Rhinolophus ferrumequinum: one gene and its partner. The protein of the gene in region 2 purifies or fractionates together with the protein of the main gene of each other region. This does not show direct contact. Links are inferred from orthologs where the notes say so. Each region holds a gene or a part of one and is shown on either strand. Other genes may lie near its edges. The genes, in order: TMED2 and EMC1.

What was found.
Region 1: the proteins of EMC1 (region 2) and TMED2 purify together in Homo sapiens (affinity purification with mass spectrometry; 3 studies listed by BioGRID and IntAct, with this or other methods). This does not show direct contact. The link is inferred for Rhinolophus ferrumequinum from reciprocal best matches to the Homo sapiens genes EMC1 and TMED2.

What each region holds. Positions count from the first base shown.
Region 1 is NC_046308.1:4,329,860-4,341,967, forward strand, and holds the start of TMED2 (transmembrane emp24 domain-containing protein 2), read right to left. Parts: upstream 4,969-12,108; 5' UTR 4,835-4,968; coding exon 4,655-4,834; intron 3,198-4,654; coding exon 3,005-3,197; intron 2,601-3,004; coding exon 2,580-2,600; intron 530-2,579; coding exon 422-529; intron 1-421. UniProt on the Homo sapiens protein: Involved in vesicular protein trafficking. Mainly functions in the early secretory pathway but also in post-Golgi membranes.
Region 2 is NC_046292.1:12,939,790-12,951,671, forward strand, and holds the start of EMC1 (ER membrane protein complex subunit 1), read right to left. Parts: upstream 4,644-11,882; 5' UTR 4,540-4,643; coding exon 4,445-4,539; intron 1,744-4,444; coding exon 1,619-1,743; intron 958-1,618; coding exon 892-957; intron 668-891; coding exon 574-667; intron 1-573. Other genes in the region: MRTO4 (mRNA turnover protein 4 homolog), read left to right, coding at 4,857-4,884, 6,792-6,850, 7,676-7,779, 8,500-8,581, 8,883-8,950, 9,201-9,352, 9,750-9,826, 9,946-10,095. UniProt on the Homo sapiens protein: Part of the endoplasmic reticulum membrane protein complex (EMC) that enables the energy-independent insertion into endoplasmic reticulum membranes of newly synthesized membrane proteins.

The DNA of each region.
Region 1 (12,108 bases), on a different chromosome or scaffold from region 2:
TTTTTTTTAAATCTTCAGTTTTAGGGGAAATAAGCAACATCTCAGCATATATTAGTAATCATACTGGCACAAAAGTTTTAAATATGTGTTAAAAACCAATGCAATACCCATTTTACAATGTTTTTCCTTTCCGCTTTAAGAAATTAGCTTATTCTTTAGCTGACTATACTTTTGAAAAACTCTCAAAACCTTGTGCTGAATCTTCATAGCACTTATTGGTTTAGAACACGAGTCCCAATAATAAACTAGTGTAGTACAGAGCTCTACAAACATGTATACTTAAAAATATTTTTGCACAGGTGCTTTTTTAAGCCAATGATTTAGTATGCTTATGTCTGCGCAACTTCCCAACGAGGAGAGGGGAAGTGAGCTGGGGGGCACCACACACAAGGCCACAGGGCCAGCCGGCTCGTTAACTTACTCGCTCTGTGTATTCTCTCGCGAACTTCCATGTATTCCTGTTCGTGTTTTACAGCTGTCATCGCCACTGCTAGCTCATTAATCATTTCTTCCAGCTTGTTCTGGTGAGCTACAGAAGGGTTTGAAAACACAGTGGCACATATTTGGTAATCTCTTCTTGAAAAATACTTATCAAGTAATAAAAATATTGCTCAAAAAAGGCATACAAAAGCAGCTATGTTTAGAAATGGCACAGAAATCATTTTGAACAACTGATGACAATTTAATTCTCAAAGCACGTTTTTAAAGTCCATTCACAGCAGAGAAACATCTTTCAGGATAGAAAACATACTGTACAATTTTTACTAACTGAAGGAAAATAGTTATCCCTGAGAAATTTCTTCTAATGAACTGTTACTAAGTGAAGTTTACTATACTGACTGCTAATCAGAGAGGAAAAAAAAATGAGTGGAAAAAAGAAAGCACAAAGTATCAAACAAACAAAATCCCCAATAACACCCTAACAATAATCTACAAACAACAATATTTAAACTAAAATCAAAACCTACTCTTAAGGTGAAGACAAGCTCTCAGCTGCACAAGGTTTAAAACCGGTATTCTCCTTGGCCAAAAATGAACACAAGGTGAACAGTTCTGAAAAGTAAGTGTATGCTTCTGGGTAGTGCTTTATTGTGACAATGAAGAAACAGGGAGGAAAAAATATACCACAAGGAAAGATTCCCATTGGAGGAGTTGCTTTATCACTGTCCAGGATTGGGCCTCGTCTAGAAGTCCAAATTGCCACAGATAATCCTCAATTTCTTGTGAGAGGCCAAGGGCCCCTACCATTTTAAGGTATTTGGGCTGGAATCTCAACCCTTCCTCACGAGCTTCACTTTGGAAGGACCATGTACTACTACGTGGAACCTTTAAATCAGGGTTTCCAGGGGCACACTGTTAACATTTTGGACCAGATAATTCTTTTGTTGTGGGGAGCTATCCAACGCTTTGTAGGATCACCCACCAAGCCATGAGAATCAAAATGTCTCCTGATACTGCCAAATGCCCCAAATCATCCTGAAGCGAACCACTGCTTTAGAAGAAGGCTTGATTTGACAGCTGCCATCCAATGACATTAACAAGCAAAAGCAAGAATTTCAGGTATCGTGTTAAAGGATTATTTAAGAATAGTTCAATATTCACATTCATCAGCCAACATTTTCTAACTACTTAGAAAGGACTAATCTCCTGAAAATGAACAAACACAAAGCCCTTCAAAACTCCCAATTCTCCTTGAGAATTAGCCAACTCCTACACTGTAAATGACCATGAAAAGCAGCACAGGAATTACTAAGTAGTATGATTCTCTAAATTCTATAGATTTCAAAACCTAGCAAACACTTCATCTTCTTTACGATGTAAGCGCTCTACTAACTGCTCAATGTCTAAGACAAATATTACCATGTTAATGCCGTGAAGTATACTGAGCAGCTCCGTTCAGCTCCGTTCCAAAAATCCTAATACTCTATGTCCTGTGACAACACCCTCATTCCCCAGCCCCGCCCCCAAAAAATCCAAACGTGCTGGCTCCTGGTAAGCAGTTTATCCAGAAGAGTCAATTCAGAGTTCAACGCTGATCATCTGAGGAATAAAATGTAATCTAACTATAACATATGGCTGAAAGAACTTTTGTCACCATATCTAGACATGGCTCCTAGAAATGCATTTCATATACAACCAAGTTTCAAGTTAGAAAACTTTAATATGGTTAAAACAAGCCTACAACATACTTCCTACAAAGTCAACAGCACCATTTGCTATTAGCTATGTTTAATCAAGACTTTTACTTGTCCAGTTATGGTTGACTCTTTCCACGCTTCAGCATTCATTGAAAATATATATATATATATATATATATGACAATGGTACTACTAAAAAATCAATGGCTGTGTTCCTAGTTCTATTCATTTAAAATGACCTGACCTGTACCTCCTGTCAAATAAATAAAAACCACCAAAAACAATCACTCTAAAACTCTAATTAGTTGTAGGGTTGTTTTTGTTTAAGACAAAAAACACTCTCATGCTAACAAACTGAGGTTAGAAGGAAAGCAGAAATTAGATAACAGCAAACAAAAATATGCAAAAAGACAGGATGCCATCAAAAATCAATCCACATACCATCCCAGGTATCTCCACCACCTAAAGAAAAGTTTAAGATACAAACACACACAAAAATAAAACAACAAAAAGTTTAGCTACACTAGTCATGTATACAAATGAGCAAATAAAGATGTGTATACCAGGATTTGCAAAGTAGCAGAGGAAACCACCTAAGACACATGTAATCCACATGCTAGCACAAAGTTGCCAGGAGGGGCAACTGCAAAGAACTAAAATATAAACATGAACTTCCAGAAACTTCTTTTTGTTAATTAGGTGATTTGGATAAATCAAAAGTATGTTTCACAAGAGGGTTTTGATTTCAAAGACAGTGTGAATGAACCTAGAATAAGAAATCACACATAGATACTCAATTCAGATGGTGAAAATGTACAGAATTAACTCCTGGGACGTGATACAAATCTTCCGAATGTTCATCTCACCTTCTGTTTCCATGTCTTGTCCTTTTGGCGCCTCACCGATATCAATGGTGAACATCACTATCTTTGGAGTCATGGTGGACATCCTATTGCTAAAACAAAACTTGTATGTTCCATCCATGTGAGCAGCAAATGTGTATTTCCCACTGGACTCCCGGTCTCCTTTATAAATTCCTTTATTATCAGGCCCTGTAATCTGGAGGCAGGAGGGAAATGCATGAGATTATCACGGAAGATTTCAAATCATAGGTTTCGTAAGTGATGTCTATTGGCAGGCAGTAGGATATTTGCTAAGAAAATGTAATTTTCAGGGAGCTCCACAGCAGTTGGTAACAGTAACCTCTCTGGGCTCCCACGTAGGAGACCAGGCTCTCCAAACACCTTTTAACTCTGACTACAGAGTTCCTCTCATTTGTTCAACTCAAATGTAAATTCCCCAGAAACAGAAACCACACCTTACACATTGTCTCCAAGTGTCCTAACACCTCCAACAAACATGCAAACAATGTATCCACTAACATCAAAATAAAAAAATCTCTTTAAAACTAAGAATTTTGAGCAAGGGGCATTTCTAGGTTTTCCTGATTACGGCCAACCAGTGAAGGAATCCGCTTCATCTGAGAAGCCTGAAAGCTTAAGGAAAAGAACTAGACTGGAAATTAGGAGACTGTGTTCTCATTGCAATCTGCTCCAGATCGGCTGTTGGGTTCTGTTCAAGTCAGTTCCTCTTATAAAGCCCTGGACACTGGAATCGTTGATCTCTAAGGTCTTAGCTAATCTGAACAGTCACTCCTTCCATTACCCACTTACTTCTGAACTTCACATGGATTGTGTAATTCGTGCCCAACTCTGCTAACGTGCACTATCAACTAGAAAAGTCCTTAAACCCAATTAATCATGCTAACAGATGAATTTAAATATTAATCATATCTGGTTTCCAAAAAAAAGTTAGAGGTGACTCATTCCTTTGGTTTAAAAAAAGATATGGGATGAAATGTAGGGACTACTGGTTTCTTAAAATAATTCCCCGTTTTCTCCACTGCAGTCATTACTCCTAAAATGCACGACCCAACTCCACCTCTCTTCGTCAGAGATGGTTCAACGATATATCCGGAGGTTTGCGTAAAAAACTAAAACACTCTGGTCGTTTCTATGAAAAGTAAAGAAAAACACCACGCGAACGTCTGCCTAGCATTCCTCGGTAACTTTCGGTGTACTTTCTCGAAACTTTTCCTGCCACGTTCCAACATTAATCCGTTACGTGAACGAATGCAGCTGCGGACCCGATCGAGTCCTGCCACCAGCCAGCCGCCCCGAGATGCGCCTTCCCCGCCCGGAGCTGACACGCGGCGCTTGGTCGAGAAAGCTCGGCGAGAGGTCCCAAGGGGAACCCCAAGCTGACAACCCCAAGCAACTCAGCAACCGCTCCGTATCCCGGGGGGAGCCCGGGGCCTGGAACCCGGCGGGCCGCGGGCGAAACGGCCGTGAGGGGGTCGCCGCGGCGGGGGCCAGGCGACAGCCTGGGTCCCTTCCGGGGCTCGGACAGCAGCCTCCACGTCCCGCGCCCTCCTCAGGCCCCTCGCGGGCCCCGGGCGCCGCCAACCCCCGAGCGAACGCGCGACCCCGCCTCGGCCGCGGGCAGCGCGCCCGCACCTCCACGTCGATGTCCAGGAAGCCTCCCTCCGCCACCTCGAAGATGAGGCCCATCTTGGTGCCCGAGGTGACCCGCTCGAAGAAGCACTCCTCGGCGTGCGCGTCGATGCTGACGAAGTAGCCCGATGCCGTGGCCAGGAGGGCGGCCAGGAGCACCAGCAGCTCAGCAAGCGTCACCATGGTGGGGCTGGAGCCGAAGCCAGGATCGGGACTGCGGCCTCCAGAGCCGCCGTCGCCGTCGCCACCACCGCTGCCGCCTCAGCCGCCGCCAACTCAGCTCCGCCCGTTCCGGCTGCGCCACCCGAGGGGGCTGATGCGTGCGCCCTGGATTGGCGGGCGCTGGCAGCTGCCACGTAACGGGCGCACGGCGGCCGCCGAGGGACAAGGCGGCTCCGCGCGGCCAGGGCCTGGACGGTGGCTCCGAAGGACCAGAAAACGTCGTCCCCACCTCCATCCCCTTTCGCGCGCATCCTAAAGTTCACGAGAAAGCGACAGCATCGAGAAACCTCCCCTGCCCGACTGCAGTACCCTCTTAGATTGTTCAAAAACATGGCGAGAGATTCGGAGGCAACAACACGAGTGGACGGACGGGGAGATGGGGGCTGTGTTGGCCTCTCCTCACCCCTCAAAAATCGACGGGGGAAGGAGGGAGGCGCGTACGTCCAGAGTGGGAGGGGACACGAGGGAACCAACTGAGATGTTGAAGTATTTTATACCTCCACCTAAATGAAGGGTACACGAGGGTTTACATATTTTTGTAATCAAGAAGATGTATATTTAAGACTAATGCACTTTATTTTACTGTTAAAAAAATCCTTGTCCAAATCCTTCCAAAATTAGAATTCTCTCAGTTCCCCCAAATCTTGCTGCCACACCATTTCCCCTTAGCTCTTGCCAGCTGCTAGGACAATTTTCCCCCTGCCCTTTGTCTCCTAACATTCTCCTACTCATTCCTCAAAAGTCAATTCAAATGTCGTCGTCTCCTCCGAAATGTGCCTGAACATTCCTTCTGCCAAATACCAGCCCCCCGCTGTGTGCTTAGGGCGCAGACCTGTGCCTGCTGAGGTATAGTCGTTTACCAGTCTGCATCCCTCCGGAGGCACCGGGTATATGCATGCTGTGCTCTCAGGCCCTTCCAGGGCCACAGAAGACCTCCCTCATGACATCTTAGCTAGTTCAGTGAACTGGCCAGGGGATGAGGACACCTAGTCGTTACTCTAGTTTTGCACGGAGCTGTGTGACCTTAATTATGTTACATCACCTCTTATCTGTACAAAGGGGGTGAACACCATATGCTTTCCTTATCTGCCAAAGTCATGAGGATCAGATGACTCATGCTTGTGAATGTGCTGCGCACGTTTCTTAAGGACATCATCAGGCAATAGGGGGCAGTAGTGGCCCAATATCCGTTTCCTACTTCAGGTGTCAAGAAACAGGTGCAGCTACAGTGAGGGAAGCTTCCTGGTTATTGAACAAGTTCTAGCAATGATCCCCTGATTCTCCACCTTCCCGGCTGTGGCAATGGCCCTGCTTCGCCTGTAGAATAATCTGGGAGCCATCATTGGAGGGAGGGTCAGCCTAGAGCCTGCTCTACCACTCTACCAGCCTCGCCAACCTATTTATATGCCTGTTTCCCTACATTAAATCTCTTTCTGCTTAAAATACCTACAGAGGTATCCTATTAAACTGATGGACGGGACTGTTGGACTTACCAAGCAACCCAACTCTGTAGAAAATTGCCAAGAACAATTCTGGTTTTATCTAGAAATTAAGTGTTCTTTTTTTATTTTTGAACTAATTAAATAATATTCTAACTCCACAGATCGGGGATTTTAAATGCTGACAATGAATTGTATATTGTGAGGGTTGTATTTTATAAATCAGGGGACCCAAATTCAAATGCCTTCAGCAATCGGGAAGTTTATGTGAATGAGAGATGGCACCAGCTTAAGGCAATAGGGAGTGGGGAGGACTGTGGAAAACTGTATCAGATGCTGTACCTAAATACGTGGGGTTTTTTAAAGATTTTATTGGGGAAGGGGAACAGGACTTTATTGGGGAACAGTGTGCACTTCCAGGACATTTTCCAAGTCAAGTTGTTCCCTCTACCCCAGTTGTAGGGGGCACAGCCCACCATCCCCTGCGGGAGTCGAGGAGTCGAACCGGCAACCTGTGGTTGAAAGCCCACAGGCCCATGTGGGAATCGAACTGGCAGCCATCGGAGTTAGGAGCACGAAGCTCCAACCGCCTGATCCACCGGGCGGGCCCCTGTACCTAAATACGTTTGACTCCAATTTTTGGAAACGCTGTGGTGGCCAAGCCAGAGATGCAGCCAGAAGTCATCTGTAAATTTATTTTTTATGCTATAAAAGTAATTGTACTGTCTAATAATTGGAAAAGAGACAGAATAACTCTAATCACAGTACTATAAAATAATCAGTATCACCACTCGGTATAGTTCCTTCTTTGTACAGGTTTTTCTTTTTAACATCGTTGTCATAATTACTCATCAGGTGTCTTTTCAACATATTTCAGGATGAAGACAAATTAATTCAAAGAACCACATGCTCTTGAGACTTGCCAGGTCACCCATAGTAAGCGTGCATGTCTACTGTCCTCAGCACAGATTGGCATGAGCTACTGTGCCATGCTGTGCATGAATATTCTGACACAACAAATAGTTGGCACATAGTGGATACTCAAAAAATATATGATGGGAGTTGTGGTCAAGATGGCAGAGTAGGTTTTTGGATGAGCAGACGTTTTTAATTTGTATGAAATTTCTCTTATGTTAAAATAAAATTTATGATAAAAAATATATTTGATGAATGATGAACGAAGCTCTCAAATGCACCCACCCTCCTTCCTTCCCTCCCTTCTTTATTGAGATATAATTCACATACCGTAAAATTCACCCTTTTAAACTATTCACTGGTTTTTAGCACATTCACAAAATTGTTCAGCCATCAACAATAATTCCAAAGCATTTCATCATCCCCAAAAAGACACACTGCAGACACATTAGCGTTCATTCCCCACCCCCCCTGCCCCTAGTAACCATTAATCTACTTCCCGGCTCAGTGGATTTTGACTGGGATTCTACAATATGTGACCTTATGTGACCAGCTTCTCTCACTGAGCATGTTTTCAGGGTTCATCCACATTGTAGCATGTATCAGTATCTCATTCCTTTTGATGGCTGAATAATATTCCATTGTGTGTATGGATAGGCCACATTTTGTTTATCCATTCACCCTTTGATGGACACTTGGTTTGTTTCCACTTTTTGGCTATTATGGAGAATGCTGTTATAAACATACATGCACATATTTTTGTATGGACGTGTTTTCAGTGCTGTTGGGTATATACCAAGAGTGGACAAAATAATTTATTTCTGCTTGGAATCAGCAGCTTGTTGTGGCAGGGACTAGGCAACCAGATTAGAAATTGATGAGGTGTTTGTATCAGTTACACCAGTACATTCTCAAATGCTGGCAAGTTTTGAAGACAAAAACAAAAGGCTGTTTCTACACAAAGGCTAGATCAGCTTTCTGCCATCTGGGTTTTAACGCTCCCCTTCCCTTCTGGTCCCACAAAAGTCTTCTTTAAAATTCGGGAAAATTAAAGGACCCTGGGGGATTTTCTTTCATCATTCTTTTTTTTTCATTTTCAGATTTAAAGTGTCACTTTATTGAGAACAACATTAATACATAAAAATAATCAGAATTCAAGACAGATGTAACCACAATATCACCACCTTACCCAATCAGCCATTCTAGCCCTCTGTGCATTGGATCCCAGCCCTCTCTGCTCTCCTCTGCATCACTGGCCCCCTTGTACTCTGCTTCCTGGTAGGTTCAGCTAATTGCAGGTACTGACAGGAGATTGGAAAGTAGAGGAAGGGAGAAGCGAGGGCCTGTGTCTCCCTCTCTGCTTTGGGAAGCACGTCTGCTACGGGCTGAATCTTGCTGAATCTTCAGGACTCCAGCTCCTCTGAAGTTCCAGCTTCCACTGGGTGGTCTGGCTTCTAGGCTCTGGTAACCCCACTTCCTCTCTTAGCTCCTCCAGTCCTAAGTGAGTTGGAGTCTGTCTGCTGTTGTTCATTTGTGGGTTGTCTCCTCATCCCTGGTTTGTCTCCTCAGCTCTATCATCACCTGTTGTGATGGCTTCAGAATATATCCACAAATGTTTTGACCCTCCTCGCTTCCAAAGGTGGAGCCCAGTTTCTCTCCCCTGCACTGGGGGGAAGACCTAGTGACTCACTTCTGTCTCCAACAAGGTGGCATATGTGACCGTGTGTGACCTCTGAAGCTGGGTAATAAAAGGCATTGTTGCTTCTACCTTGTCTTCTTGAATCGATTCCTCTGGGAGAGGCCGGCTGTCATGTCGTGAGGACACGCAAGCAGCTCTGGAAAAGGCCCACGTGGAGAGAGACTGAGGCCTCCCACCCACGGCCGGGTGACAGGCATCTTGGAAGTGGCGCCTCCAGCCCCAGTGAAGCCTTCAGATGGCCCCAGCTCTTGACCTCAAGCTAATGAGAGACCTTGTATCGGAACTGCTCAGCCAAGCTGCCCCTCAATTCCAGACCTGCAGAAACTATGAAAGATGATGATTATTGTTGTTGTAAGCCACTAAGTTTTCAGGTTACTTTTTACCCAGCAATAGGTAACTAAAAACCAATTTCCTACATGGAAACGTTTCTGTTAGAAACACCTAGAGTGAGTTCTATTTTCTTACTGATACAAACTCTTGTCCTGAATTGTAAATCAAATGCAAAATTAGCATCTATGAAATGTGAACAATGTAAATGTGAGGCTGTTACTGAGAGTGAGACTGGGTCACATGACCCCAGGCCCCTGTGATGGGTTCTGCGTGTACACAGCAAACAATAATACCTGGAAGTCATTAATTACAGGCTGAAGAGGGCAATCCAAGTAGAAAAAGCTACAGGAGAACGGAAGGGGGTCATTCTTGATGGTAGGATCCACTGGTGAGAATATTAGTGTAGAGGCAGGAATAATATTTAAAGAAGGATTTGGGTAATGATGTGCAAAGAAAAGGATATTCTAGATCATGAAGTTGAAATTGAAGTATTAAAAAGAGAAAGGTTTTAGATGGCCACATTTCTACAGTGTGGACAAGCACTACCAGCTTCCTGGTCCCAAACTAAATATGGATTTTTTTTCCTCTGTTCAACATGTGTTCTCTGTTCTACAAGAGCACTCTGCTTGTCCATTGAGGATTCCCCTCCCTCCTGTCTTATCCCATGCCATTCAGGTGAACTGCCCCCACCCACTGGCTCTAAGCCTGACCAATCAGCAACTTCTATCTCCCTAAGCACAATGATTGGTCCAGGGATGGGCATGTGTCCCAAACTGAGCCAATAATATGCCATGAAAATTCATTGACTTTTCTGAGGTTATTAAACCAGTAGGATGTAACCCTAGAGGTCCTGGAGGCCACCTTTGCCACACCGTGTAGAGAACCTGCATGAAGATGATGTTAACATTGTACAAATCTGGAGCTGAGGGTTAAGGAACAACAGAAGTCAGATGACATCGCTGAGCCCCTGAATCCAGCTGTGCCTGAAGTCCACCTCCTGGATTTCTTGTTCATGTAAATTTTTTGCTTAAGCCAGTTTGAATTGAAGAGTTCTGACAAACTGTGAAAATGCAAAGCAAGGCGTTAGAACTACAGAGACTTCCCCCATGTTTGTTTGGAGATGGTCATGATAAGCAGGCTCAATGATATATATGCTTTAAAATAATTTAGGTCAATTCATTGGGGCATGGATTAGACATTTTGACAGTGCATAAGGAGAACCTATGTTTTCAACGACTAGGTTATGGGCTACAAAGTACTAATCACTTTGTTAGCCCCATCACTCATGTATGGGATCATACTCAATTCCTTTCTGACAGGGACTTTCCTTCCTCACCTGTAAAATGGGTAATATCTCCTCAGGGTGGCTGCTTGCCTACCCCACCTCTGCAGACTGAGTCAGCTGCTCTTATTCTGGGTTTAAACAAAACCCTGTGTGTGGTTCTATCATAGTTTTTATCTTGTTATTTCATTTTTTAATATTCAGATATCATTTATATACCATACAATTCACCGTTTAAAGTGTACAATTCAATGGTTTCCGTTATATTCAACCATCACCACAATCTTTTTTTTTTTTAATTCTTAAAGCTCATTGGTTCATGCAGCTACAAAGCTTTGAGGTAGCAAAAAAATAAGGCACAGTTTGATCCAGTTGCTCAAATGACATCCCAGGATATGGTCTGATCTCAGACCCACCTTGACCCTGCTTGCCTTCTTATTCAGCCTGGCTCTTTCAAAACTAACAAGGCTTCCAGGCAATGTTCTCAGCAACTCATGGAAAAAACTACCAACCAAAATGATAACTTACCTTTTTCAAGAGGCCAGGAAAAGTGTTCTGGACTCTCATTGAACTGTCTGAGGTCAGTGCTCATTCCTGAGCCAACCACCAGGCCCACAGGTTGGGTGGTGCTGATTGGTCAAGCCTGGGTTTCCTACCCTGGAACAAGGAAGCAGGGGAGGGGTGGTTCATCTGAGGAAAATCAGAAAAATGGGATAGATCCTAGCAGGCAAAACAACAGATGTATCTCTCTACTCACTGGACTACACACTCCTTGAGGTCAGGGACTTGTGATCTAATTTATCTTTGCACTCTCGGAACCCTGCCTGGCACACAGAAGGTACTCAATGGCTGTGAGCTTCCTTTTCGCTTTCCCATCTCACTCTATTCTGGAGCCTGGTTCATCTCCCCAAAACAAGGAGTTCTTTGAGGAGGTAAAGGTTCCTGCGAAGTGATCTGAGCTTCCAGAAGGAAAGTACTGCTTTTATCACAGGCAAAGCAACAGGGAAAGTAGAAACAATCCAAAAGTCCCACATGGATGGATGAATGGATCAACAAAATGTGGTCCGTCCATACAATGGGATATTACTCAGCCATAAAAAGGAAAGCGGAACCGACACATGCTGCTACAATATGGACGAACCTGGAAGACATGCTGGTCAGCGAAGGGAGCCAGTCACCAAAAGGCCGTATATTGTACGTTTCCATTTGTATGAAATGTCCAAAACAGGAGAATCCATAGAGACAGAGAGCAGTAGAGTAGTGCTTACCTCGGGCTGTGGTGGGGAGTCAGGAGGAAACGGGGAGCGTCTGCTAATGGGGTTTCTGTTTGGAACGAAATGGATTTTCTAGGACTAGACAGAGGTCATGGTTGTGTGTATCTGTGAATATACTAAACGCCACTGAACGGTACCCTTTCAATGCCTGAGTTTTATGGCGTGTGAATGAACTGCATCTCAACAAAGCTGCTTACAACAAAGGAACTGGCAGGAGTGGTTCAGTTGTCCGAGGTACAAGTCCAGAAACAGCCAGCTCAGCACAGCTGGAGCAAGACGGCAGAAAGGGCAGCCAG
Region 2 (11,882 bases):
ATGTAAAGTGCAGCATAGAGAATGTAGTCAATAATGTTGCAACAACTATCTATATATAGTGCCAGGGGGTACTAAACTAAATGGGGGGAATCACTGCATAAATTATATAACTGTCTAACCACGATACTGTACATCTGAAGCTAATACAAAGTAATACTGAATGTGAACTGTCACTGAAAAAAAACATTTTTTTAAAAAAACACTGAAAGTTTTATATTATGTTCTTACATCTAGAACATTGCAAAGCTCTCCAGTCACGGTAAGATTAGGAAAAATAGTCAAGTACAAACACTGCGTCTAGCTGAGAGGTCTGCATCTAATAAATGCTCAATAAATGCTGGCTCAGTAAACACGTGTGTTCCATTACCTCAAGAACATCAAAAACTGGGTGTTTGAGGCTCTTTGGCTCTGTGGTGGTCCCTGGGAAAAAAGCCAAAAGGCCCAAAGTTGCTGCCCATGAAGGTCTATGTTCCAGCAAAGCCTTGAACCAAGCCAAGATAAAACACAGCATCTTCCCCTCTACCTGCCACTGTCCAAGGTCATCAAGATAAAACACAGCGTCTTCCCCTCTACCTGCCACTGTCCAAGGTAATCTCCCAGTTCAGGCCCCCGATATTAGTCTCCCAGGAACGCATGATCCGGCCTCCGTTGGACACAGTGATTGCATCTGGAAGAGACAAGACCATGGTGACGTCAACTCCCCAACTGGTGCTCTGCAGCCTCCTAGGGCCTGTGAGCAGTGGCCTCACCTCTGCTGTATGAGTGCAAGTATGAGCTATTTGCACTCCTGTTCTTTCCTTCTCCATTCCCTACCAGACCCTGCAGAAGGAAGGAACCAAGGAACGGGGAGAGGGAGCCGACACATGATAGGGACAAAGCAGGACTGCTTACCCTGTCCGTACAGTAACATGGCATCCACAGCCCCTTCTGCCGTGCCCTTGTCGACATGGCGCCACACTGAGAGACAAGAGGCAGACGTTACTATGAACTGAAGAGGAGGCATCCAAGAAGATGGGCAGGAGAGAACTGAAGAAGGCTTTGTTCGCACAGCAGTGTCCAGTTGTATTTCAAGGGAAGGAAGGGTTCCAAATAACGTAATGATCCACTCCCACTCGCTGGGTAATGAGGGGAGGAAGGGTTGAGAGGAGCTGCTACTGTCCCAGTCTGGGGTCTCTGCACTTCTAATCCCCATCAAACACATAAACGAACAGTGACGAAATTAACAAATCCACTGTGATTCACAGGAAAAACAGTGATTATAAATTACCTATCCATGATTTTAGTGCCTAAAAAATATCTATAAAAGTAGTGAAGTAATGGGGGAGGAGAGGAGGCATCCAAACCTTTTGTGCAAAATAGAATCACATGTGTTTTGCAGCAGTATCTTATTTAAGAACACGCAGAACTTGGGCTGAGGGACTAAACTACAAAGGCCAGTTACAGGATTAAATGACGAGACTAAAAAAAAGGTCAGAACCCAGTAAGAGATCGCATCTTTTGGCTGACTTCCCTAACTGGGGAACCAGCCGGGCAGACTTGACAAGCCACACAAGCCATTCTGGCTTCACTATGGTCAGCCATTCCATGCCGAGGTAACTAGTCTACACAATTCACTCACAGATCTCCCCAGTCCGAGAATTTAATGCTGCAATCACATTCTTCTCTGTGGCCACAACCAACTTCTTGGATCCAGGGGAAAATTCCAAGGAAGCAAACTTGAGCTTCCCAACATACTGCTGTCTCCTAAAGAAAAGAGAACAGGGAAACGTAAGGGGCCAAAAGCATCACTGCACAAAATGCTTTGAAAAAAGACACTGCACAAATATATGAGGTTATCGTCATCATACCTACCTTGGGTAGTAGGAGAAATGTTTGCTAATGAGATCTGACCAAAAGCAAAAGATCTATGCAATGTAGTCAGAAGCAAAGGGAACAAGAAGAGAGAATAACCTAACAGATGAGAAATGCAACAGTCTTCCTTCGAAATGCAAGCACATATTTATCTCAAGAAAAGTGATACCCAGAAGAGCACCTGGTCTAAATCCCACTACAACGTTACAGTCCTCTCTGCATTAATAGGGGGGCTAGGTGCTCATAGTCCACATGAGGGAAGAGACATAAATCCTGTTGTCCATAAGCATACAATCCAACTTTCCCTTCTATTTTCACGGACCTCTGGAGAAAAAATTATGCAAATTTTCTAATAAAAATCCATAGATTGGGTCAGGCCTTTGTTCTCTACAGCCTTTTCCATGTTCAGGATCCATGTGACCTATTGCTCATGCTTTCTTTGGAGTATATCTTATCACTTTCAACACTCTAAGCATAAAAAGAAGATAATTAGCTTCGTATGGCCAACTACCGAGTACATAGGAGGTGCTCCCACATTGCTGTTAATGAAGTACTGCATTCTCTAGCAAATTAAACGCACGATATTTACACGGAACTTCATTTGTCATGATGTTGTTTGGTCTAATTTTTTTTTTAAAGAAGAAATTGAGCTGGTAGTAGAAAGATAGGCTTATATGACATTTGACAGTTTCTACCTGTATTTCCACATACTTTATTCTTACTGCATCCACTGAACACTCTATGACATATGCTGGACAAATATTATTACTCTCATTTTACAGGTAATTAACCTGTAAATAGTCCACTGAAGTCAACGAATTACTGTCAGAACTAGAATGTGAAAGTAAGACCTTTTGACTCTAAATCCCATGCTCTTTTAAGATAACTAACTTTCCTCTGGACTATAAAACTAATGCCTGCTTATGCGTAAAAGTATTAAAAAAATCAAAAATGCCTAAAATACCACCACCATAAACTTTTTAATGTTTTGGTGTATTTCTTTGTATTTTTCAATTTGTAAATTTCATATATCTAGTATTCTGTTAATTGGAATCATACCAAATATGCTGTATATGTGCAATACATACATATTATATTGTAGGCCTTTCCCTACATCATTAAAAATATGACTTATGTTGCATTTGTCGTACCATCTTATATCACACACTTAAACAGCAGGTCCTTGAATAACATTATTTCATTATAATGATTTTCCCTAGGGACTTAACTCTTGTTTATATCAATTAGCCTACGGTAAAATTGGTTTGGATGTCTGTCTTTTTGTTTAAAGTCGCAGAACCTACTGATGACATTAAGTGAGGACGTACTGTATATCTGCCCCATGAGCTCCTTGTACCCCCAGCACCTAGAACAACCAATGACCCACGACAGACACTCAACAAATAAGTGAATTACCGTGTTTCCCTGAAAATAAGATCTAGGCGGACAATCAGCTCTAATGCGTCTTTTGGAGCAAAAGTTAACATAAGATCCGGTCTTATATAATATGTAATATAACATAACATAATACAATGTAATACCGGATCTTACATAATATAATATATAACATAATACCAGGTATAATGTAATATAATACCGGGTCTTATATTAATTTTTGCTCCAAAAGACACATTGGAGGGGATTGTCCAGCTAGGTCTTATTTTGGGGGAAACACGGTAATTTGCCTGATACAAAATAGGCTTCAAAGAGGAGGAGATATCTCAGCTGGGCTCTGAATGTTAAAATATTCCCTGAGTAGTAATCATAATGAGTACTGGACTGATTGCACTCAATGAGCCAGGCATGGTGTTAATTTAAGGGAATTATCTCACTCATCCTTACAACAACTGTAAGAGATAATGGACCAGTATTAGCAAATCATTTTACAGAAAAAGAAACCATGGCAGAGTGGTTAAGTCACTTTCCCAAAATTACACAACTCTTTAGTAGCAAAATTCAGATTCAAACAAAAGCAAGGCCTTAAGGAAGGTGTGGGATGGCAGGTGAGGAAGTGAGTGACTAAGTGAATGGCACCTCCATGAATGGCACCCCCTGGGTGATGTGAGACTTGTGAGCCCCTGTTCTGAACCCAGAGCCGGGGCTGGAAGGGAGGAGAAACAGGACTTAGTTTAGCACTCATAATAGCACCCGAGACTCGTACACATGCCCAAGAGAAGAGATGCCAATTCGAGGAGGAATGAGAGTTCGCCGAGGGCTGTCGACCTCTCACATGCAGATCAGAAACCTGACAGTCACTAAAATGGGGCCTGACGGGGGAGGAGGGAACAGAGATCTCTGACCAGAACCCCAAGCCGGCCTGAATGTCAAGGCCAGCTTCAGGGGCTTATGACCTGTACAGTCGCACGCTGCGTCTTAGAAGGGCCACCGACGTTTGGTTTAATGCTCTGCTGTCCCCATCTAAAAACTTTCAGCTTTTGAACAAGGGTCCCACATTTTGTTTTTGCACTGAGCCCTGTAAGTTTTGTAGCCTAGACGGTCCTGCTGCATGGTAACCGCCCGCCCTTTAGCAGGCAGAAGACAGGTACTGGGAAAATAGCCACGTATTTCCCGAAGAGGTGCCGCACGTACTCACCAATCAAACTTGCCGACTTGGTCTTCGTACACCGCTGCCGCAGGAATAAGCAATGCAGCCCAAAGCCAGACTCGGGAAGCCGCCGTCGCCGCCATGACAGGAGCCCGGGCCCGCCCGCTGACGACCCGGCATGCACCGCGCCGCAGGCTCCGCCTCCGCGGAACCACAGAGTTCGGGCCACATACAAACCCTCGGTGGGGCGCCCAGGAGTTGGAGGCTTCCGAACGTGCTGAGAGTCCACCTGAAAACGTGAGGAAGAGCGCAGGTGGAAGCCAGGCGGGGAGAAGCGGGCCGCACCGCAAATTGGGTCAGGCACGCACGAGGGCAGCTCTCGAGGGCCATCCCAGAGGCCCCCGCGCCGCCGGGGTCCTAACCGACGACACCGCCTTCCGCCGCACGTGGTTGCAGCGAGATGCCCAAATCCAAGCGCGACAAGAAAGGTGGGTGAAGGGCCCGTTGGGACCCGGTTAGGACCCCACCGGCTGCGATGGGGGTGTGGGGCACAGAATGGGACGCCGGGACCTCCGTGGGGAGCTCCGCGGGCTTGCTCTGGTAGCTAGCGGCGGGAGCACGCTGGGCAGAGGGAGCTGGAGCCTGGTCGTGTTAAGGGAGCCGAGACTGTTTTTCCCAGCTTCGACTGCTCTTCCAAGGCCTACTGGGCCGGGAAACAGCTTCCGAGCACCCAGACTGCGCCCGATCTCGCCTTGGCCCATCTTTCTCACCTTAGCCCATTTCCCTTAGCACTCTGCGCTCTCGCCACCCTGGTCGCCTTTCCCTTTCTCTAGCACAAGCTTATTCCCGTGCCTGGCTCTTTTTACTTGCATTCCCTGCCTACCTGGCATGCTTATGCTCCCATTTTCATTTTGCTGACTGAGTTGTCAGTTTATAGAGCACCTCCTAAGAGAGTATTCTTTACTATGGTGGCGTCTCTCTCACCCCGGCTGTTTAGTATAGTCACTCCACAAATATTTAGGTGCCTGGCACTCTCTAGGAGTAGAAGGATACAGCAGTTACAACAAGGAAGGCTTAGAGTCTTCATCGAGCTTAACACTTTAGTCATGGGAAGTATATCCCACCGAAACACCAAAAATTGAATGACTAAAGTCAAATAGTGATGAATCCCATAGAGTAAAAGTGAGGTGATGTACATGACCATAGGTCTTTGATGAAGTGGCAAATGAGCAGACACCTGAGGAAAGGAAGTGAGCAACCTATGGAGTTATCTGGAGAATGGTGTTCCAAGGAGAGGGAACACAAAGTGCAAAGGGGCTGAAGTGGGGGCATGTTTGATATGTTCTGGGACAAGAGGCTAGTGTGGCAGAAGCAGAGTTGGGGGGTTGCAGGGTGGGCAGGACTTTTAGGACCTTTGCAAGGAATTGGCTTTCACATCCCAGTGAAATGGGTAGGCATCTGAGAGCTTGAGCAGTACGATGATGTGGTTTGACTTTACTTTTAAAATGTCACCCTAGTTGCCATATTGAGAATGGACTGGGTAAAGTGGAAGCAAGGATGGAATCATCAAGAGCAGTAATCCAACACAGGGGTGATGCTTGGCTCACAGAGGCTTGGCTCACAGATGTAGCAGCGGAAGTGATAGGAAATGGACAACTCTTGTTTGCCCTCCTGTCCTGCACTTGCCTCTGACTGGTGTGATTACCTTTCTGTATATGTGCCTTTTGAGGAGGGACTAAACGCCAGGCCGGATGACTAAGAGGTGGCCGTTTCCTGGAGGCACCCTGGGTTTTGCATTTGATGCTGTTAAGTGTTCGTGGGTTCTATAGAGGGAGCCCTGATGAGATCTGGCAAATCCAAACCCTTCCGGATAAGAGGCAAATTAGGCCCTAGCTTTTGTTATAGTAGAGGTGCTTGTCCCTCTCCAAAGTGGCATTGCTGCATCCTTGAGTCCAATCTGCAAAACAGGATGTAGCAGAAAAGAGACAGTCCCCAGGCTCATCATTCCACAGCAGAAGCCATCCATAGATGGTCTCTGTGCACCACGGCCAAGAGCGGAAAGAGACGTGCCTCAGCCAGCAGACTAGCTCTACCACTGAAAGCATTCCCTCTAGCAGGTACAAGCCCCACCTCCACACCTCAGTGCAGATGTTTAAGCTAAACCAAGAAGGTTCAGAGGAACACCCTGCTTGTCTGAGTAACAGGAAATATATCAAAGGATCTGCAGGCTCAGAAACATCAGAAAGTCGGCGCTCTGCGGACCCTGGGGATAGTCTGGCTGCCTCTCCTCAGACGGGCTTGGTCCAGCCGAACTACCAAACGGCAAGAAGAAAATGAGTCTCCAGGACATCCAGATTTGTCTCTCATCATCTCTCCTTTTTCTTCTTTGTATTAGTTTCCTTAACCAAAACTGCCAAGAAAGGCTTGGAACTGAAACAGAACCTGATAGGAGAGGTAAGGGCTGTTTCCAGAATTTGTGTTTGGTTTATAAAGGTGTGCGTAGGACTGTATGTTAGGGAAACATCCTGTTTAAAAAAAAAAACCTGCTGAGCGGCCCTTTGTCCTCCAGTGGCAGCACCAGTACGACTCCCACAGTGATGCTTCCCAGCTTGGGCGGAGCCCTTCCTCTGTGCCCTGCACTGTGCTGCGTGCCATACGTATCATTGCACTCCATCCTCACACAGGAGGTGACATTAGCCCTGTTTTGCAGTTGGGTAACTGAAGCTTACAAGGATTTGTTAGCCTGCCCAATGTAAGAAGTCTGGGAGTTAGCAGACGTGGGTAAATGCGCCAACCCACTGTTTGCACTGCTTCGGGGCTGCAGGCTGGATAAAAGGGAGTCTCCTCCTGCATAACGATTGTTTCCTTGAGGCCACCTCATCATGGCTGTGGCCAGCAGTGTGGGCAGAGTAGGACCACTGAACTGTGTGCCCATGTGAGTAAATAATGAGGATTCGGTTGTTTCATTTAGAAGGTGCCTTCCTAGTGTAGCTAAGAGTTTCTGGGTTATCAATAACTAACAGACAGTGCAGAGAACAGGCCACAGGTCAGTCAGAAACCATGGGATCCTAACCCGTGGCTCAGCTTCCCCTGCACTTTGGGATCACCCCTGCTTTGCCCCAGGGGAGCCCCTGTACGTGGGGACCCTATCTTAGAGGCCTCCAGCTCTAACCTTCCACAGTTATAAGTTACCCGGAGCTATCCTTTCCCATCGGAGGCCAGAGTATTGCCCAATCCTGGTGCCCCTTGAACTCCAGAGCCCCGCGACTTGTTCCACAGCTTCGAAAATGTGTGGACACGTACAAGTACCTCTTCATCTTCTCCGTGGCCAACATGAGGAATACCAAGTTGAAGGACATCCGGAACGCCTGGAAGCACAGCCGGTGAGCAGGCAGGGAAGGGCGAGGCTGTTCTCAGTCGGGCACGTGGCAGCCATTGCCCCTGGGGTACCTGGGTCACAGATGGCAGGTTAATACGGACAAAGTGCCACTCCCAAGCCGAAGGTACTTTTTACCTGTTACAGCTAGCTGCTCTTCGCACTGTGCTCCCTCCCTGTGGAGCAGGACTTGGTAGGTGCTCAGGGAATGTTTGAGCAGTGACCCCTCCAAGAGAAGGGGCTCCCTTTCCCCTGGGGTCCGTTTAGGAACATCGCATCAGTTCTAGAATGTCATTATGTGCTGTTTTAGGATGTCATTATGTGCTCCATGATGCAGCGCTGACCCGAGAGCAGGTTGCCCAAGCCGTGTGGCGAGTACCTGTCCTCAGTTGGAACTATGACAATACGAGTGGCTCTGGTCGTCTCTTGCTGAGCCAGCTCAGGTTCAGACCATGAAACGGGCCTCTTCCGTACATTCAGGGGGGGCAGGCAGATTAGCACATAACAATCGTGGTGTTAGACAAGACATTGTGAATGTCAGGGTCTCTGGGCAGGAAAACAGTGAAAGGGACCTTGGGCTGGAGACAGAGGGGGCAGAGCTTTGTGGAAGAAGAGGGAGCCTCTGCCATGCCTCCAGCCACAAAACAGCCTGGGCCTGACTCGGCTCCACTTAATGGGAGGCAAGGCTGGACGGGGCACTTCTTTCACGGACCCCTCTTCTCTGTAGGATGTTCTTTGGCAAAAACAAAGTGATGATGGTGGCCCTGGGTCGAAGCCCATCTGACGAGTACAAAGACAACCTGCATCAGGTGAGTCTGGCCCTCTCCTGGAGGGGCAAGGCCAAGCCGCCTGCCCGCCTGCTGCTCTCACATGACACACACTCCAGCCATCTGGCCCGCCTGGGGATCAGGAGAGCCCGCCTGGCTTAAAGCTCCGGTTCCCCTTTAACCTCCTGACCCAGAGAGTAGTGTGCAGGTGGGCACACACCCAGCTGTGACAACCAAGTGTCTCTAGATGTTGCCAAATGCTGGGGGGTAAGGGGGCAAAACTGTCCCCATTTGAAAGTCACTGCTCTGATGTGACCAGACCAACCCCGTGTTTGTTCTTTAGGTCAGCAAGAAGTTGAGGGGTGAGGTCGGTCTCCTTTTCACCAATCGCACTAAGGAGGAAGTGAACGAGTGAGTGTTTCTGAGGGGTGTCTAGAGGTTGGTGAGGACGCTGGGGACTTTGTACAGTGGAGGCATCAAGGAAGAAGCTGTTCCTAGAACCCTGGTACTGAGTTCTCTCCAGTACTGCGCTCCAGGCTGGCTGCAGCTAGCAGCTGAGATTGCTGGAAAGGGAGGGAAGGCCCAAGGGGAGCCTCGCTTCAGGGGGCTGTGTGTGGCCCAGTCAGGAATCTCCCCTCCTACCACTTCTCTTTCCCCTAAGGTGGTTCACGAAATACACAGAAATGGACTACGCCCGCGCTGGAAACAAAGCAACTTTCACCGTGAGCCTGGACCCAGGGCCTCTGGAGCAGTTCCCCCACTCCATGGAGCCCCAGCTGAGGCAGCTGGGCCTGCCCACTGCCCTCAAGAGAGGTACGGGGAAGTCCCTGGAGCTGCAAGGTCACAGCTTAGCGGCCAAGAGCACAGGCTCCCAAGCCCGGCAGGGCCCCTCTCCCCTTTCTGGCTGAGCAGGTTACGTCTGCCGGCCTCCATTTTCTCATGAGAAAGGGGGGCTGAGAGTGCCCGCCTGATCACTGCGGTGAATGTGGACAGTACCTTACAGCCAGAATACAGCACTTCAGGGACAGAGGGAGGTGGTCACTGTACCCCGAACACCGTCGCAGGCAGCTGACTGCTGTTGCTGAATGCCTGCCCCAGCGTGTATTGGACTGGTGGGGCGGACAGGTGGCCAAACAGATCCCTCCCAGCTCTGGGCAGCAGACAGAAAGTTGTGCCAGAGGTAACTGTGTGGTGGCCCCCCTCTCTGCAGGTGTGGTGACCCTGCTGTCCGACTACGAGGTGTGCAAGGAGGGCGACGTGCTGACGCCAGAGCAGGCCCGCGTCCTGGTGAGTCCGGCCCGCCCAGCCATCTGCAGGCTGTTGGGGTGTGTGTGGAGGGGGTTACCGCAGAGACTCCTGATCATACTCGCTCCTCCTTACTCTTGGTTCCTTGGCCTCTCTTGCAGAAGCTTTTTGGATATGAGATGGCTGAATTCAAGGTGACCATCAAATACATGTGGGATGCACAGTCTGGAAGGTTCCAGCAGATGGGAGATGACTTGCCAGAAAGCGCCCCCCAGTCAGAAGAAGAATCGGAGGAACAAGACGATGACTGACGGGCACTTCGGACTGGGCCTCCCAGCCCATTCCAGGCCTTGTCTTGACTGGAACACACGGGACTGCCTCCGCCCCTCTTGGGGGACCAGCTGTGTATTTTGCTGTGGATGAAGACAGGTGGGGGGCGAAAGGCATAGACTCTTCTGTAAAGAATAAAACTTTGTCTGCAGGGTGTTTCCCTGTGATGGCAAAGGGACTTTTTCAGAAAAAAGGGCTTTGGATTTGGGCTTTTGATTGGATCCCTACGGTGCCCTTTGTTCACCTGAGGAGCCAGCTTCCAGCACTGGTTCCTGCGTGTCCATGGCCATGCAGCTCTAGGGAAGGGAAGGAGCAGCCACCAGGGCTTCTGTGCCCTGGCCCTCAGTGCACACACAAAAAAGGAAGCAGGCTGGAAATGGTAAACATGGATAAATACAAGACTTAGTCTCATTTTTAACCTTCTAAAAAAAGATCACTGAGTTTTTATGATATTAAATATACGATAGGACTCAGCAAAAACCACACCAGTGAACCGAGACACAAAAATCCTTTAGCAAATCAAATACAGTCGTATATAAAAAGGATCATACATCATGACTCAGTGGGTTGCGTACCCGGAATACTGGGTGGCTTTATATTTGAAAATCAGTCAATAGAATCGACTATACTAACAGGCCAGAAAATAAAACCTATATGGTCATCCCAATAGCTGTGAGAAAACCATTTAACAAGATTTAATAATCATTTGTGAAGAAGAAACAAAGAACTCTCAGCAAACAGAAGGGAATTTCCTCAAACTGACAAAAGGCATATACAAAAAAACATACAGCTAATATTTGGTAATGAAAAGGCTTTCCTCCTCCGACGGGGAACCAGCAGTGAGGTTGGCTCTCACCACTTATATTCCACATTGTATTGGAGACACTAGTGGTCCCTGCATACTTCAGTGTGCTTGCGTAATGATAACGAGACAATTTCTCACATACTTCCAATGCCATTATCACCCTAAAGAACAATTATTTTGTGTCACCTAATACCACATCTGGACTGATGGTTCTTTTCTTTTCAGCACTTGGAAAAAATGTGCCAATTCCTCGTAACCTTCATGTTTTTTCTGATGAGAAATCTGTCATTTGAATTCTTTCCCCTAAACCGTTTCTCTCTCATTCTCTTGCGATTTTTTTTGTCTTCAATTTTCACACGTTTGACTAGAAGTGTGTCTTGGTGACTTTTGGGGTGTTTATCCTGTCTGGAGCTCATTTCACTCATTGAATCTGTAGGTGTATATGTTGTCAAATTTGGGGAGTTTTCGCCCATGATTTCTATGAGCACTTTTCCAGCCTGCCCTGTTTCTCCTCTCCTTCCAGGACTCAACATTGTTCGGTCATTTGTGCTAGTCCCGCAGGTTCCTGACACTCCGCTCTTTGTAGTTATTTATTGATGCATTTTATAATGGCGGCTTTACAATCTGTGTTAGATGGTTGTAACCTCTGTCGTCTCAGGATTGGCATGTACTGATTGTCTTTTTTCATTGTTTGAGAACTTCCTGGTTCTTGGAATAACGAGTGGTTTCATTAAAACCTGAACATTGTAGTTATTACGAGACTTTTGATCTTCTGACCGTGCCCTGGGCCTCGTTACTGCCCAGGGGAAGGAACCCCGTCTCCCCATTAGGCCACCACTGATGCCTCCCTGGCTAGGAGGTTAGGATTGCTTCCTTACTGCTCCCGCATGGCCTCGCTGACACCATGGTGCGGGGAACATCCCAACACCACCAACGTGGGAAAGGGAAAGGGCTCCTCGTTAC